2 linked regions of the Oryctolagus cuniculus genome follow. The protein of the gene in region 1 purifies or fractionates together with the protein of each later gene. This does not show direct contact. Links are inferred from orthologs where the notes say so. Each region holds a gene or a part of one and is shown in the gene's direction. Other genes may lie near its edges.

Evidence for each region. Proteins that work in one complex are often made in the same cells at the same time.
Region 2: the proteins of IGF2BP1 (region 1) and STAU1 purify together in Homo sapiens (affinity purification with mass spectrometry; 3 studies listed by BioGRID and IntAct, with this or other methods). This does not show direct contact. The link is inferred for Oryctolagus cuniculus from reciprocal best matches to the Homo sapiens genes IGF2BP1 and STAU1.

The regions. Positions count from the first base shown.
Region 1 is NC_091448.1:25,209,927-25,214,430, forward strand, and holds part of IGF2BP1 (insulin-like growth factor 2 mRNA-binding protein 1), read left to right. Parts: intron 1-1,995; coding exon 1,996-2,044; intron 2,045-2,466; coding exon 2,467-2,518; intron 2,519-4,504. UniProt on the Homo sapiens protein: RNA-binding factor that recruits target transcripts to cytoplasmic protein-RNA complexes (mRNPs). This transcript 'caging' into mRNPs allows mRNA transport and transient storage.
Region 2 is NC_091442.1:11,270,783-11,275,375, forward strand, and holds the start of STAU1 (double-stranded RNA-binding protein Staufen homolog 1), read left to right. Parts: upstream 1-1,291; 5' UTR 1,292-1,552; intron 1,553-4,593. UniProt on the Homo sapiens protein: Binds double-stranded RNA (regardless of the sequence) and tubulin.

The DNA.
Region 1 (4,504 bases):
ACTGTCTTCAACCCGGGGATGAGGGCATTGATTGGAGTGGTGAGGCGGTGCCGGGGGTCAGCAGTGAAGCTGAGAGCCTTCAGGGACGGCCACGTTGGTAGAAGCCTCTGGAAGATGAGAAGAAGCCGCCGGTTCAGTGGCAGGAGGGGCAGAGGTGTGGTCACCATGGACTGTCCCACGGCGGTTATCCACAAATGCAGCTACAGTTAGGCTGAGCCTCTGTTCTCACCCCTAAGCTCCTTATAAATACTGTCTACCACCACCTGCTGCCCGGGGTAGGCGTGATCCCTGTCTTTCAAATGCCTCAGAGAAGCTGAAAATTTTTTTTTTATTTCAGCAGTTTCTAGTGAACGTTCGTATATAAGATTATTTATTCTTGCATCTCCTCAGTGGTTTCTTCCTTATATGTGCCCTTCTCCTTTCCTTTCCTTTTTTTTTTTTTTTTTTTTTTTTGACAGGCAGCGTGAACAGTGAGAGAGAGAGACAGAGAGAAAGGTCTTCCTTTTGCCGTTGGTTCACCCTCCAATGGCCGCCGCCGCCAGGTGCTTCTCCTGGTCTCCCATGGGGTGCAGGGCCCAAGCACTTGGGCCATACTCCACTGCACTCCTGGGCCATAGCAGAGAGCTGGCCTGGAAGAGGGGCAACCGGGACAGAATCCGGCACCCCGACCGGGACTAGAACCCGGTGTGCCGGCGCAGCTAGCTGGAGGATTAGCCTATTGAGCCACGGCGCCGGCCCCCCTTCTCCTTTCCTACTTGGTGAGACTTGGCTTTCTGTCTGAGGGTCTGTTTAGTTTTTGTCCGGCTTTAGCCCTAGTGGTCACCGCCTTGCTGGGGTGGATGCCCACGTGGACAGCTGTGCCACTGGCCTTTCCCCACCACACCCGTTGAACAAAGACGAAGTGTTTCTTCCTGTGCGCCTGGAGCACGTTCCATTGTCCATCCGATGGGCACGGATGGCGTGCTGCACTTCTGCCTTGGCCCTTGGAAAGAGGGGATGACAGAGCCTTCAGGCCCACGTGGGAAACGGCATGGAAATGCCTTTTTCAGTTCTTGCTCCCATGAGAAGTCAGAGGGCTTGAACTTCATTTTGGCCACTGCCACTCCGGCCATGGCTACCAGAGGGAAAAAAGGGAGTCATCTTTTAAGATCAGTGCTAGGCTGTGGTTTGAATCTGTCCCTGTGCCCAGGGCCTGACCTCTGCCCTCGCACCCCTCTAGTGTGTGCATGTGGTCATCTCCCAGGGTTGGTTGTGAGTGCCCCGGGCCAGGCACTTTTTTGTTTGTCGTGTGTCCCTAGTATGTGCAACAAGGTTGGGCAGGAAGTAGGTGCCACTTAAATAGTTGTCAGATTAATTAATAATGCCTTACTCAGTGTGCGATGCTAGCGCCTAGCCCAGGGTTGTGGTGACAGGTGCCTACTGAATGAAGAAGTGAGACAAGCTAAATCGTGAGGGAAACAAGCCATTGTGTGTGTGGTTGTTTTTTTTTTTTTTTTTTTTTTTAAGATTATTTTATTTGACCGGCAGAGGTACACACACTGGGGGGTGAGGGAGAGGGAGAGAGAGCGAGAGCGTGATCTTCCATTGGCTGGCTCACTCCCCAAATGGCCACAACAGCCAGGGCTGGGTCAGGGCAAATCCAGGAGGCTGGAACTCCGCCTAGGTCTCCCCTGTGTATGGCAGGGGCCTAGGCACTGGGGCCATCTTCTGGTGCCTTCCCAGGTGTATTAGCAGGGAGCTGGATCAGAAGTGGAACAGTCGGACTTGAACCGGCGCTCAAATTGGGTGGCTGCTACTCCACAACACATCCGTGTTTGTCTCCGTGGCTGTGACGTTGATTTTGGTCTTTTCCAGCAAGATGCCCCGGTCTCCTTTCCTAAAGGTCATCATTCCTCAGTGCTGAGCTTTTCTCCAGCAAAGGGAGCCGAGAACTGGGACAGGGCAACGTAGGGCGCTACCCCGCCAGATCTAACTCTGTTCCCTCTTTAATTTCAGGAGTCGGAAGATCCAAATCCGGAATATTCCACCCCAGCTCCGATGGGAAGTGAGTGTCCTGGGGAAGCACTCAGTGGTGGGGGTGGGGCCGGGGAGGTAGTGGAGACCTGAGTTACTTTGGGGGGCCAGGCTGGCACGTGTCCCCTGGGCCAGGCTTGGTTGGGGGGTGTCTCCTCCCTCACTGGCGCTCTTTCTGGTCTCCCTTCGGTGTGCATCGCCAGGGAGGCGAGAGGGTGCTTCTGTGCACACTACCAGGTGTGCTTCCAGGAGGCCCCGCAGGCACAGCTGCAGGCCCGCTGGCCCCTGGCCGGTGTGGACAGCAGCCCTAGCACCTGGGAAGGGCAGACGGACAGGCGATGCCCAGTTCTTACCGCTCTGCGACTTCCTGAGTGCTTTGGGTGTGTGTGGGCTGCTGGGTGGCCGCCTGGCGAGGGTTCTGGGCGCTCAGTCCCTGTCTTCTCCACCCCGCAGGTGCTGGACAGCCTGCTGGCTCAGTACGGCACCGTAGAGAACTGCGAGCAAGGTGAGAGCGGGCGCCGGGCCTCGCTGGGTGGGCGTGGGTGGGCGTGGGTGGGGCTTGGGGGATCTGGACTTCACTTCCAGTGATCAGCTCCAGATCGCCCTGGGGTCCCTAGGGAAGACAGACAGACGGACAAGCAGCTGGAGTGATGCAGAGTGGGAAGCAGTGACGCAGGGACCCCCATTCCACCCCTCGGGCTCTCCCTGGAGCCAGGCATTTCCTGTGCTGGGGTGGTGCCCAGGCTCTCAGCCGACCGAGGTGGAAACAGTCCAGGGTCCCAGGCGCAGTGTAAGAATGGAAATTGTGTGTTCCACCCAAGCGGGCCACCCTCTGACCCTCAAAGCCCCCGTGTTTCTTGTTTTAGGGGGTGGATTGTCCACAGGCTCCTTTTTTTTTTAAAACTCTGGTTGGCAGCTCCATAGGTCTTTGGTCAATTAATGAAAATGCAGAAGATGTAGTCTGACTGGCAGTCTAAATCTAAAGATTTATCTAAAGATTTCTTCTTTAAAAAGAGTGGGTTCTCAAAAGGAAAAATAATAAGGAAATTTAACGTTCTAAAAAGTTTGCTAGGATTCCTGAGTTTTCTCTGTTATTAGGATTACGAGTTCTTTTCAGAAACAGAGAGTCTAAATAAAATAGGGAGTGGTTTGGCTCACTGTAAGGTGGTCTTTAGGCAAGATAGTTTAGATTTGAAGATCTTCAAAGCAATAAGTGGGTAATCGCTTGGCCCAGGATTGAAATGCCCAGCTCAGCTCTTCGTGGGGTGCACGTGACGAGCGACTGTGAATGATCGAGTCTTCGCCTGCCCACAGGAGTGGGGGGGGTCTGCGAAGCAGGTGTCTTGTGTTTGCCAGACACAGCCGAACCCACTGCAGCCCAGTGCCTGGGACTCACAGTGCGGATTAATGAGTTACTCCGGGACAAATAGTGTGATCGCGCTGTGGCCAGGGGGCAGGAGCCGTGCACAGGAGCTTAGCCAGGGAGCAGTGCGGTGGGGGTGCCTGCCGCCTGCAGAGGAGAGTAGGGAGGGGCTGGGTTTTGTGGGACAGTAGAACAGGGAAGGTCCTCAAGGCTGTGCCACTGTCCCCTTGCGTGGGAGGTCATTCTGTCTGCCCTGCTCTGCCTCGCCCTCTCGATCCAGGTGCCCACCTCTCCGTAGCACCGAGCACTTTGTGGTCTCGGAGAGGATTTGCTTACTTATGGTGCTTTCTGTCTCCGCCTCTCCTGGGGGTGGCACTCTGCACCCCAGGCCTTGGCAGGTTACTCCTGGGGGGGAGCCTTTGCCCTGGAGGTGGCTGAGCTGAGCAGGGGGATCGCCAGGGGCTTGGAGCAGGGCGCCCAGCTTCACAAGACACTGCTGTGTAAGACAGGATAAAGCTTGCTGAAACGAGAACTATGTGGCTGAGTTACTTGAAATTCTGTTTATTTTATTTATTTGAAAGGCAAAGTGACAGAGAGGGAGAGAGATCTCACATGGCCTGCAGCAGCTGGGCTTGGCCAGGCTGGAGCCAGGGACCTGGGACTCAGTGTGGGTTTCCCAGGCTAGTGGTGAGGGTCTAGGTGCTTGTGTCACCTGCTGCCGTCCAGGGTGCCCTTTAATAGGAGGCTGGAGTTGGACGTGGAGTTGGGATTCGAACGCTGGGTATTCCAGTTTGCAACGTGCATGTCTCAGGTAGCATTTTTTTTTTTTTTTTTTTTTTTTTTTTTTTTTTTTTAGATTTATCTATCTATTTGAAAGTCAGAGTTGCACAGAGAAAGGAGAGGCGAGGGGGGAGTTGTTCCATCTGCTGGTTCACTCCCCAGTTGGTCACAATGGCTGGAGCTGTGCTGATCCAAAGCCAGGAGCCAGGAGCCTCCTCCAGGTCTCCTATGCAGGTGCAAGGACCCAAGGACCTGGGCCATCTTCCACTGCTTTCCTAGGCCATAGCAGAGAGCTGGATGGGAAGTGGGGCAGCCAGGTCCCAAACCAATGCCCATATGGGATGCCGG
Region 2 (4,593 bases), on another chromosome or scaffold:
CCAGCTGGGTGGTAAAGACGCAGGTGCTGGAGCTATGACCCGCGGTGCGTTAGCTGGGAGGTAGAGCAGGAGCAGAGCTGACTCGAACCCAGGCCCCCTGATGTGGGCTGTGGGAGCCCAAGTGTGGCTGGACTGTTGCTCTCCGATGCTGCCTGGCCACCTCATTTTTGGAGAGAGGTCACAAAGCCAGGTTACTATGTGTTGAAATTGTTCAGCCGTTAAAAACTAACAAAACCAAAGACAGAGAGGAAGAAGAGGAAAACAGCGCGAACAGTCACTCCACAGCGCTCATTTGAGGACCACTGTGTTAACCAAGGCACAGGTTCGTCGTGGGGCTGCTGGGTGTGGGAGGGGAGCCTTAGACGTGTTTTTCTTTTTGTACTTAGGGACTGGCAGTCACATCTTTTTTCCCAAAGGCCTCAAGTCTTCTGGGCTGTTGCCAAGTAATTAAGGAATTATTTTTCTTTGTTTCAGGATGAAGATGGAAATAAGAAACTGAGCACTGGAGATGTTACTCCAAATTCTGCCTGCTCCTTCCCGCAAGATAAGTTATATAGGAATGGGCAGAGCGCATAAAGTCCCCGTGAAAAGTTGGCTCTCATCTAAAATTACACTGCTGTTTCTGTTAGAGTGGGCACTTGCTGTCAGTGTACGGAAACAGAAGAAAGTCGGCCTGGAAGTGATAGGCGGAGCCCTGGGGTCCTAACGCGCACAGCCACATCATCTTTTCGTTTGTTTTTTTAAGCTTTATTTATTTGAAGGAGAGAGTCTGCCATCGCAGGTGCCTGACCGCTCCCCTCGGCGCCGGCCCCTATCTTGCCTTTCAGTGCACCTAGCAAGTTAATGATTTTATTCGCGCCTTTTATCCGCACTGGAACGTAAGCTCCATGAGGGCACGGGCGTTTGTCCGTTCCGTTCTTAGCTCTCGGGGCAGCGCCTCGCACATGGCGGAGGAAGGAGGCCCTGAGGGCGGGAGCGAAGGGAACGACACCTGCGAGACGAGAGGACGGACTGAGAGAAGGAAGAAGGAAGTGCGGGAGGCCAGAAGGCACGCGCTCCGCCTTCCCGCTCGGGGCCCGGCAGAACTACAACTCCCAGCAGGCCGCTGGCCCAGGGCGGGCGGCGGCCACCTCGCCGCGACCAGGCCCCGCCTGCCGGCTCCCGGTGTGCCTTGCGGGCGCCGGCCCCGCCGCAGCGCCCGCCGGGACTTGTGGTTTGGGCCGCGGGTGGGGGTGGGGCCGGGCCTGGAGGCGGGCGGGGGCCGGGGGCGGGCGCCGGCCCCTCCCCCGTCACTTCCTGCCGGGCTGCGGGCGCCGGAGCGGCTCCTCAGCGTTTGCGCCGGCCGCCGTCGCTTCTTCTCTCGGCTTCCCCGCTTCTTGGACCCCCCGGCCCGGCGGCGGCGCCCGCCTCCTCCGCAGCCACTCCGCCTCTTCCCACCCGCCGTCCCTTCCTCCTCTCCCTCTTCCTTCCTCCTTCCCCTCGTCGCCGCCACCACTGCCGCCGCCGCCGCCCAGGACCGCCGGCCGAGGGGCGAGCTGAGGGCAGCAGCCAGGTGAGGCGGCCGGCCGAGCGCGGCGGGGCCCGCGCGGGCGCGGCGGCCACGGGGCGGGGGGCGGCGGGCGGCGGGCGGCGGGTGGGGCCTAGGCCTCGGCGGGCCGCGCGCCGGCCTCCTCCCCCCGGCCCGGGCCTGCGTCCCGCCCGCGGGGCCTGCCCGGGGTGGGGGAGAGGCGGGTCCTCCGGCGCCCCCAGCCCCGCCGCCGCTTTCTCGCCGGGGCCGGGAACAGGTGCCTGGCGCCCTGCGCTGGGCGGGCGCGCGGGGACAGCGAAGTTCCTGCCGGGCTGGTGGTGTCCCCTCTCCAGCCCTCGGGGTCCGGAGCGTCCGCGTCGTGCGGCGGGCACGGCCCAGGTGTCCGGCCCCGGCGCGGCCCCTTCAACTCTTTGTGTGGGCTGGGGAGAGGGGCGCCGAGACCGTCCTGCCGCTTTCTGGCTGCGGAGGTTCGGGGAAATGGGGCGTGTGAAGCGCTTATCGGAGCGCCAGACCCACAGCGTGTCCCCAATAAACCGCCTGCATGATTGATTGGCGTGATAGGAAGGTGTAATTTAGTGGGGCGAGTGGACAGAAGTTGACCTACCTAGCTGCCTCGCTGCCCGTGCGCGAGTGGGGGAGGCAGCGGTGTTCGGCGTGGCCCCCGCCGGCGCCGGGGGCATTGTTTTGGGCTCAGGGCTGGAAGGGGGCGAGCCCGGGCCGGACCCCCTGCGCGCCAGCCGCGGGTCCGCCTTCCCCGTGGTCGTCCCGCCTCTAGGAAAGTTGCTGGCAGCCGCTGCCCCTGCGCCGGGCGACGTGCTTGTCCTCGGGCCGGGGCCGGGGCCGGGGGCGGTGGACGGACGGCGCTGGGCGAGCGTGCCTGTCCTCGGGCCGGGGCCGGGGGCGGTGGACGGACGGCGCTGGGCGAGCGTGCCTGTCCTCGGGCCGGGGTCGGGGCCGGGGGCGGTGGACGGACGGCGCTGGGCGAGCGTGCCTGTCCTCGGGCCGGGGCCGGGGGCGGTGGACGGACGGCGCTGGGCGAGCGTGCCTGTCCTCGGGGCCGGGGCCGCGGGCGGTGGACAGACGGCGCTGGGCGAGCGTGCCTGTCCTCGGGGCCGAGGGCGGTGGACGGACGGCGCTGGGCGAGCGTGCCTGTCCTCGGGGTCGGGGCCGTGCCCCTGCCTTGCCGCGTCGGCGTGGGTGCAGGCTCTCGGCTGTTCGCGCGCAGATGCGCGTCCCAGCCGCCTGCCCCTGTTCTCTGGCCGTGCGGAGGGCTTTGGGGTCGCGCTGCCGTGCTGCGCGTGTTTTTGTTTAGAAGCGGGCGGACGGAGTCGAAGTACGGTTTTGCAGGAAGGGACCTCTGCTTACGTTGCTACTTGTTGAAGCAGAAACTAAAAATACAGCCGGGGTGTGGAGGCAGCGGTTTGGCCGTCTGGGGACGGGCGCACCGAGTTCTGCTAATGCTGGGCTGCGTGGTGCGGCTGTGCCGGTCCTTGGGGAGCTGCGGCCGCCGAGGTGCTCAGCTTCGAGTTAGGACAGAGAAAACGGAGTGTGCGCGCCGCAGACGTCCGCCTAGACCTCGGCTTGTCTTAGTCCGTTTCCTTAGAGAAATGAAAATGTTTTGATTTACATCTCTCAATGCAAAGTGGCTTCCTTGTTAGGTTTTTCTAGAATTTTCTGACACAGTGTCACATTGCTTCTGATTTAAAATTTGACGTTTTAAAAACAGCTAAACAGACAACTCTGCAAACAGTAAAAAGCATGTTTTCTGCTACCTTGTGGTAAGTTGTGCTAGGGAAGTTTTAATATTGCAGTGGGTAACATAAAGCTGTTTTTAAACTTTTCACTGTGGAAAATACATGAAAATTGACTAGACGACTTAGGTATTGTGTTTGTCGCTCAACTTCGGCAGTTTTTTTTAAAAAAATAGCTTCCATCCGCTGGTTCACTCCGCAGGTGCCGCACGCACAGCTGGGCCTGGGCCAGGCTGCCACGTGGGTGTCGGGGACTGCGTGCTCCATCATGTGCTGCCTCCTTGGCCCTCGGCCGAGGGGCAGGCAACCCCGGCTCCAGTGTGAGAGCCCCAGCTCTGACAATGATTAACTTACAGTTAAGAGCAGTCTTGTACCTCCTCCCCCAAACTGTATTGTTTTGAAGCAAATCTTAAACATCGTATCACAGTGTTAGAGATTTTGACTTTTACCAGAATGCTCCTAAAATGTGCTTTTAAAAGAATCAGTTGTCATTTTGTTTGCTTGGCTTCTCATCTCTGAACAGATTACTTGGTTACTGTGCAGTGGGGAAAAGACTAGCAGCTGAGCTAGTTTTGATCAGTGCTGTCCCGCTCTCAAAGTCAAATCCCAAATGTGGCCTTGCTTCTCTGTGTGCAAAAGTAACTCTTGAGCCATGAAAGACTAATTGAAGAGCCATCAGAAAGACAGATTTCCTATCCCTTTGTTGGTGGAGACCTACCTGCTAGGCCCCTTTAAATAGGCAGGAGCTTTGTGTCAAAGTTAAACCACAGTAATGCACCATGAAGCTTCCCAAAGTTTCTTTAGCTGGTTGTGTAAATAAATGCCGTCTCAGTAAGTATTAAGCGAAGGATGTTTGATTTCAGAATCTTTGTAGAATTGTTTTCCAGAGTCCCCATCTGCTCTATTTACAAACAGCACATTGTTAGTAATTATGAGTGGAATCTTAAGTTTTGTGACTAGTGTGAAATCAAAATAAGTGTTCATATTTTTCTTGTTTAAAAGGAGATCTCTCCTAGAAGTATTATAAATATTTGCTATTGTTACGTAATTTTCAAATTTCTGTCCTGAACAGTTTCTAGTTTGACTTGTAACATTGTTATTTCATTCTTGTGGGTTTTCATTGAAGCTTGATCAGGGGTACAGTGGAAACGTTATATATTATATTTTAGTTACTACAGCCTGGGAGATTTGGAAATTAAAATTAATCTGAGGAAAAATCTGTTGAGTATCTAGGGGAGGACACAACATTTATTTTTTAAACAGTGCTTAGTGCTTCCTATCAGGCTTACCAGTAAAACTTTTAAGTGTTTAGAA